2 linked regions of the Ovis aries genome follow. The protein of the gene in region 2 purifies or fractionates together with the protein of the main gene of each other region. This does not show direct contact. Links are inferred from orthologs where the notes say so. Each region holds a gene or a part of one and is shown on either strand. Other genes may lie near its edges.

Region 1 (3,748 bases), on a different chromosome or scaffold from region 2:
AGGGGCCACGGCAACTCTGCCACAGCGTCCCTCCCGGCCCGACCACCACCCAGGAAGGAGAGCGCCAAAGCCAGCTCCTCCACACCACACAGCAGCGCTCCCCCTCAGACAAACTTCTGCTTCCGTACTTGAGTCTCTCCCCCCACTGGACTGGGAGCTGCCTGAGAAAGCAGAGGCAACACCCTGGAATGTACCACTGTATTTCTCTCGCATTCCACACAGCTCACAGGTATTCAACAAAATTCCCTGCCGATCAAAAGAACAGAATAATTGTGGGACAATTATTATCATTATTATTATTAATTCGGGGTGCACTATCCCCCTCTGCCCCGTTGTTTGCCTTTCCTCCCAGCAGACATGGCTCCTGGGCGCAGGGACACTGCCTCACACACCCTTAGCCTCAGACCTGATACAAGGGGGCGGTTTACTAACTGGTTGCTGAAGGAATCAAAGAAGGACCTTTGTGCGGCTACAGCCATTCTGCACTTTTCAGAAAATCCTACAAAGATGTACCCGTTCCAATGTGATAACACTGAAGCCCTTTACTGACAGTATGATTTTTTGCTTTACCAAGAGCCGTACAACACGATTCCTTTAAATGCCAAGGCCCCCTGAATGATCTCATCGACAGGAATCCCACTGACAGGCAGAGTCTGGGAATAAGCCAGGGAGGCACATCCGGGCTGGGAAACGGCAAGGGTGACTTTGCCATTTGTTCTAACAGCTTAGATTCATTAGTAAACATGACTCCTGGGGCCCTGTCTACACTGTACCTCCTGGCATCCAGACTGGGGTGGGCAGGAGGTCCCTAGGAGGCAGAGGGGACAGCAGTTATTGATCAAACTGCAAGAAGTCCTCCTACGCTTGGTCCAGATCACAGGAAGGAGCCACGTGGCCGCAGGGATGCGAAGGGGCCTGGGCACAGTCTGGCTTCGTGAGTGCTCTGAACGAGCTCAGAGGAGAAGAGAAACCCTTTGCTCATTAGCGAACTTCTGCTTCTCAGAGTGGAATGTGTCTGGGCATCCTTCATGGTCATCTCCCCACTCCAAGGTGTTCAGGGTGACTGACCCTGAGCAGCCGCCCCAGCAACTACTCTTCTTCCAGCATCCGTGACAGAGAACGGTGTCTGAACTGTCACTACCTGTCAGTGGAATTCTTGTAAATGAGATTATTCAGGGGACCTTGACATTTAAAGGAATCATGTCGTAAAGGAGGAAACAAGGAAGACGCAACAAAGACAGGAGGAGATTAAACTCTGATGGTGAATGAACCAGGTCTGAACGCTGGCTCTGCCTCCCACTGGCTATGCAAGCTAAGACATAACCTCAGTTAAGCAGGTGTCTTTATCTATAAAATGGGAACAATATTGACTTTACAGGAGGGCTGTGATGATTAAATGTGGATATAAAAGTGAAAAGTGATCCAGACACTGCTGGGCACATATTAATCTTAAAAAAAAAAAAAAAAAAAAAAAACAACCTCTGTCCAATGATATGCTCATCAATTCTCTCTGCTAAGTGTGAAGATCTAATGAGAAAATGTACTGAAAGGCCCTTATACACCGTGGCGTGTTGATCACACCTAAGGGATTATTCCTGCTACTGCAGGTGGTCAATCCAGTCGCTCACATGGCTCTGCCAATGGCAGCAGAGGGGAGCGAGCCTCCAGCCATGCAAGCACAGAAACCCTCAAGGTTTTGGTGACTCCAGGGCTTCTGGTCGCCACCAAAGCATGCCACATGTATTTACTTCCAACCCTCCCATAGTCCCTGGTACACACAGAAAAACCATTCACTAAAATGGAGCGATGCACACACACAGGAAACCAGGAACAGAACAAGGACAGAATCCAGACTTCTGACCCCCCTCAAGGTCCCCTTTCTCCCAGGGGCTCAGGCCATCTCACTGAGCAGACTCTATACATCCAGACCACGTGCAGTACAGCCCAGCCCCACTGGCAGGGCCTCTGACACCAGCTGTTTCTAACCCTTGTCTTACAGACACACCAAGATCCAGAGAGGCGCAGCTGACTGGGCAGCAGAGCTTGGGCCTTCAGATTTATGGCAGCCTCTCTGCCAACAGGCTGACCTTGGCTCCAAGGGCTCGGGGGGCCGGCGGGCTCTCTTTTGAAATAGCACCTCTGTTGAGCCGTCACTGGGGTCGGGTCCAAGGTGAAATATGAGAGCGACGCCTGTGTAACGGGCACGATACCCTGTGCCCGACTGTGATCTGAGCGGTTTTCCTGAATCCTCACACCCACCCTCCTTTGCGGGTGCGCGCCTTACCCGTCTGGCACAGGGGAAACTGAGGCTCAGACAGGGAAAGGAACTTGCGGCGGCGGGAGTCGGCGTGGGGCCAGTGCCCTGATCAGGCTTGCGGGGTCTCAGCCTTCCTCCACCCCGGGACCCCGGGGGCCCAGGGCCGGCCGGCGGACCTTCCGCGAGCGCGCACGTGGGGCCGAGCCCGCTCGCGCTCGGGTCACGTGAGGAACCGGGGAGGCCTCAGGGCACCCAGGCGGTTGGGGTCCGGGGCCTCCCCTCTCCCGGCAGCCACTGTCTCCGCCCCACCCCGCTCCGCCTCGCGCTACTCACCCCGGGTGGGGGCTCCCGGGACGCGGGAGAAGAGGACGGGGAAGCGGAAAAGAGGGGGGCGGCGGCGGCAAAGACCCCCCACCTGCCCACGACCAGCTCCGTCCAACCTCGGCTAGAAGCGACACCTCGCGGCGCGCGCCGCTTTTGCCCACTTACGTCACTTCCGCTCTTCTGAGGGCGGGGCCGCCTCGGGCTCCGCCCCGCGCGCGACTTGTCCCCGCCTCTCCCCCCCCCACCCCGCACCCTTGGGCTTCGGCCCTAACTCGACAACTTCCCTGCGCAGAGCTTATCCCACCTCCGGCTTGTGCACCAGCTCACTTGGAGCAGGCTTAAAAAGAGCATTTTGTGGGTCTTCCACTGGGTTACAAAAAAAAGAGGCGGGGGAGAGAGCCTTATTCAAGCCTTAACTCTACCCATAACAATTAACATCCTTAAAATATACAGATCCAAAAAAAAGTAAAGGAAAAATACCCTTGACAATGCCAAGGGGTTGCCACTCCAAATAAGCGGAACAAGTCCATGATGTTTCCATTTCGAAAAGGTTGCCCTTTCCTAGGTTCCTCCCAAACACAAATTCTGAATTGGTCCCTGAAGCAGTCGAGATGAACATGTGAGTTTGCAGGTGGAAGACCTTGTGAACCTCTCCAAGCCTCAGTCTCTACTTCCGCCAGATGCACAGAATAATTGCTCATTTTTCAATGCTCGAGGGTTACATCTGTGGGATACTGTGAGTTGAGCCTTCAGCCCTGTGTGTGGAGCCTGCTGTCGGTAAATAGAAACTGATTCATAATATTGGTCACTGTATTCATGTATAGCATAATATTCACAATATTTATCATAAATTCTTTTTTCCTAAACTGATATCCTGGCTTAGAGTTACAGTGCCTCCTGGACACTGCACACAGGAGGTGCTTAAATTGTGTTTGCTCTAATGAAGTGAAAGCTATAGTGGGGCAGTGGGGTGCCCTGAAAAGCCCCACCGTTTTTTGTTTTTTTTTTTAATATTTATTTGGCTGAGCTGGGTCTTAGTTGCAGCATGTGGGCTCTTAGTTGTTGCATTTGGGATCTAGTTCCCTGACCAGGGATTGAACCTGGGCCCGCTGCATTGGGAGTACAGTTTTAGCCACTGGACCACCAGGGAAGTCCCCGACCTGCTAT
Region 2 (3,648 bases):
TGCAGAAGATGGTTGGGTTCCTGTCTGTGGAATAAAATTGATTCAGGTTTTAATGGAATCAGTCTGGCTGTTTGTTGAAAACAGACTGAAATGGGTTAAGAGGAAAAACACAGAACTCATTTAAGAGGTTATTACAATAATCTAGTCAAGAAATGATTGTTTCTTAGAGTTGTAATAGTGGAGATGTGGAGTAGTTACTGTGGAAAGATTTTGGAAATGGTTGGTAGGAATTAACAGCTAAACTGGATGTGGGTTGTGAGAGAAAGAGGTGATGGTGAGTTTTTGTTATGAGCTAGAAAATGGACTCTCGTGACTAAAATGGTAGGATTTAATTGTAGAATAGGTTTGGAAGGGAGGGGAAGATCAGATATTCAGTTTAAGATGCCAGTAACACTCAAGTTAGACATCCAGATATTACTGTCAAATAGGCATTTGAGGAAAGATCTTGCTGCAGGTATAAATTTATTGGTTATCAATTTTAAAGCCATGAGCTTAGCTGAGATCACTTAGCTGAGAAATGGAGTATAAATAGAAGAGTTTCAAGGATTGAGCTTTGTGATACCTTCCTCCACCCTCTCACAATGATTAGAGGCCAGGAGATGGGAAGAATCAGCAAATAAAACTTCTCAGTCAAGAAAGAAAATCAGAAAAGTTTAGAATCCTGAAAGCCAATTAAAGAAAGTGTTTCCGATTGGTAAGAGTGATAGATTCTATCAAATGCTCCTTCTAAGTCATATAATTGAGGATTGAGAATTTCTTGTAACATCTAATATTCTAGAGCTCCAGACTGGCATAGACTTAAGCTGTCCTGCCCCAGAGATCTTTCTTATTATCGTCTCATAATGTTTGAGTTGGAGCCTTCTTTCTGTATTTTTGCTATGGCTGCTGTAGTAAAGTACTGTAGAGTGGGTGGTGTAAACAGCAGAAATTTAATTCTCTTGATTCTGGAGCCTGGATATTTGACATCAAGATATGAGCCGTACTGGTTTCTTCTGAGGCCTCTGTCTTTGGCTTATAAATGGCTGTCTTCTGTGTTTTCATATGATCCTCCCTCTGTGTGTCTGTGTTCCAAACTTGTAAGGGGGGACATGAGTCATATTGGATTAGGGCCCACCCATATGACATTTTAATTTAATTACCTCTTTAGATTTTAAGTATTTCCTACTCAAAGCCTGTCTCATCTAGGATAATGGTCTTTAGAAATAAATTTGCACTTATCTAGACTTATCTGGGTACATCAACAGATACTTTTAGATTTTTTTTTTTTTTGCTCTCTGACCAGTTGTTGTTTTCTGTGCCCATTCAGTGCCCTCAGAGTGAGCTGGATGCTGAAACTGTGAAGAGCATTCTGGCTGAGTACAAAATCCATAATGCCGATGTGACCCTGCGTAGTGACGCCACAGCAGATGACCTCATTGACGTGGTGGAAGGAAATAGGTAACTGACTAAATGGTGCCTGAGTTTGAATTTGAAGCCTTGTAATGGAAACAACATTGGATTGTGAGTCTGGCAGACATCAGTTCTAACTCTGGTTGTGCTCTTATCTCAGATAATAGTGGGCCTTGCTTTCTTGATAAAATAAAGGGTTGTTCTTGATTGCTGACATCCTTCTTTGCTCTGAAGTTTGATGATGATTATCAAATTGCTTGTTTCAGTTACTTGGTATGAACTAGACTATCCCCTAAGCTCTGTGTTGTATGGTGGTTCAAGAGAGTACGTCCTCAGTCTGCTCTCACAGAATTAATCCATCTGAGAAATTCTATAGGCTGTTCTGCAGAACTTAGAGCAGACTGGGCTGTATCTGTTTTCTCTAAGAGTACATAACTGAGATCTTACATAACATGAGACATTACTATTTGAAATTAATAATTGAAAGTACTGTTAAGTTATTTCTGGCATTTGAAAACAGACAAAAACTGGTGCTTTGAGTTACGTGTTTTATAAGTGAGGCAACTGAAGCCTGAGAAGTTGTAGCTCGCCTAATTATTAGTAACCTTAGCTGCCCTATTGATTGAACAGTTAGGATTGTGACATTGCTAGATGTTGTGTTTAAAAATTTTTTTTTTAATTCTTGAAGTTATTATATTATTAGAAGTGTTTTACATTCTTACAGTTCATAAAACAACTGGGAAATTAACTGAGATCGCCTAGGGACACATGTCTAGAAAGTGACAGAGCTGGGAATACATTCTGTGTGACTCTAAAGCTTATGTTATTTACACTGCAGCATGCTTTTTCAGTAATTAGTTGCATGACTAGGGACTGTGGCTTGAGTTTTGTTACTTAACTGATAATTCACTTTTTGCATGTTCTACCTTATTTAGGTAGGAAACGTTTTCTTTTTTTGGCTGACTTTCTCATGATTCCAGTTTAGAGTCTCTGATTTTGAGTCCCAGGTGAGGGGCTGTTGAGTCAGACTGACAGTCTTGTCCACAGCTCCAGACTAACATACTGTTTTTCTTCTATTTCTGTAGAGTCTATATCCCCTGTATCTATGTGTTAAATAAGATTGATCAGATTTCCATTGAGGAGTTGGATATTATCTATAAGGTGCCTCACTGTGTACCCATCTCTGCCCATCACCGCTGGAATTTTGATGACCTGTTGGAAAAGATCTGGGACTATCTGAAACTAGTGAGGATGTAAGTCTTAGTGGAGAGGGTATTATTACTGTAGGACTTAAAGCAGACTATCCAAAAATAATACCTGCTAGAGCTCATTAACATAATCTGTTTTTGGAGATAAAAATAAATTAATTCCTATCATCTGCAAGGCCATATTGAGGGCACCTTCTCCCTCAAGATAGAGGTTATCCATGTCTGATCTCTGGGTTGATGGAGGGTTGAGTTGTGTTCACACATGAAGCATTCTAAGAAGTAAGCAGCCTCTGCTCCCTCTGTGTTCTAGTTACACCAAACCCAAGGGCCAGTTGCCCGATTACACATCCCCAGTGGTGCTGCCTTACTCCAGGACCACGGTGGAGGATTTCTGCATGAAGATTCACAAAAATCTTATCAAAGAATTTAAATAGTAAGTATGATGGCATGTGGTGCCTTCTTTTCCCTATGAGCTTTCTTCTAATGAGTAATTCTTAAGATAGAGTTATAGAAATTAGGCATCAGGAAATGCTTGCTTGGTTAGAACCTTTCAATGTCTTCTTAAATCTAAATCAAAACAGAAAGTGACACCATGCCAACTTGGAGCAGGAAGAGCCCTAAACACCTTTTCAAGTTGGGAGGGCTGACAGTACAGATTGCTCTGAGGTTCTCTTGTTAATTCATTTTCCTCTTGGCAAACACAAAATGTAGCATCATATTGGGCTTCACTGGGTACTGAGGGCCCCCTAAACCTTTTGGATAAGGAAATACTCTCTTGATAGAGTTTTCCTAGTATGGCTAAGGAAGGATATCCTACGTTTCTTACCCGTAACCACTGATGGTTCATAGGCCCAATAAAAACCAGTATTCTGTAACTGACATTGCATTTGTAGGAATCAATTTCCAATCAATTATTTCAGGGTATTTCTCTGTAACAAGTCTATGCTTTCTCCTTTTATTTTTAAATTAGTCTGATCATACTTCTCATTTGTATTTTTTTCCTTGACTTTCATAAATTGGCTCTGGAGCATGGGGAACCACATAACTCTGA

Evidence for each region. The genes of interacting proteins can lie anywhere in the genome.
Region 1: the proteins of DRG1 (region 2) and NTMT1 purify together in Homo sapiens (affinity purification with mass spectrometry; 3 studies listed by BioGRID and IntAct, counting the BioPlex papers as one, with this or other methods). This does not show direct contact. The link is inferred for Ovis aries from reciprocal best matches to the Homo sapiens genes DRG1 and NTMT1.

Annotation. Positions count from the first base shown.
Region 1 is NC_056056.1:6,888,868-6,892,615, forward strand, and holds the start of NTMT1 (N-terminal Xaa-Pro-Lys N-methyltransferase 1), read right to left. Parts: upstream 2,737-3,748; 5' UTR 2,673-2,736; exon of another isoform or gene 2,591-2,672; intron 2,453-2,590; exon of another isoform or gene 2,285-2,452; intron 1-2,284. UniProt on the Homo sapiens protein: Distributive alpha-N-methyltransferase that methylates the N-terminus of target proteins containing the N-terminal motif [Ala/Gly/Pro/Ser]-Pro-Lys when the initiator Met is cleaved.
Region 2 is NC_056070.1:70,085,788-70,089,435, forward strand, and holds part of DRG1 (developmentally-regulated GTP-binding protein 1), read left to right. Parts: intron 1-1,306; coding exon 1,307-1,437; intron 1,438-2,474; coding exon 2,475-2,642; intron 2,643-2,907; coding exon 2,908-3,030; intron 3,031-3,648. UniProt on the Homo sapiens protein: Catalyzes the conversion of GTP to GDP through hydrolysis of the gamma-phosphate bond in GTP. Appears to have an intrinsic GTPase activity that is stimulated by ZC3H15/DFRP1 binding likely by increasing the affinity for the potassium ions.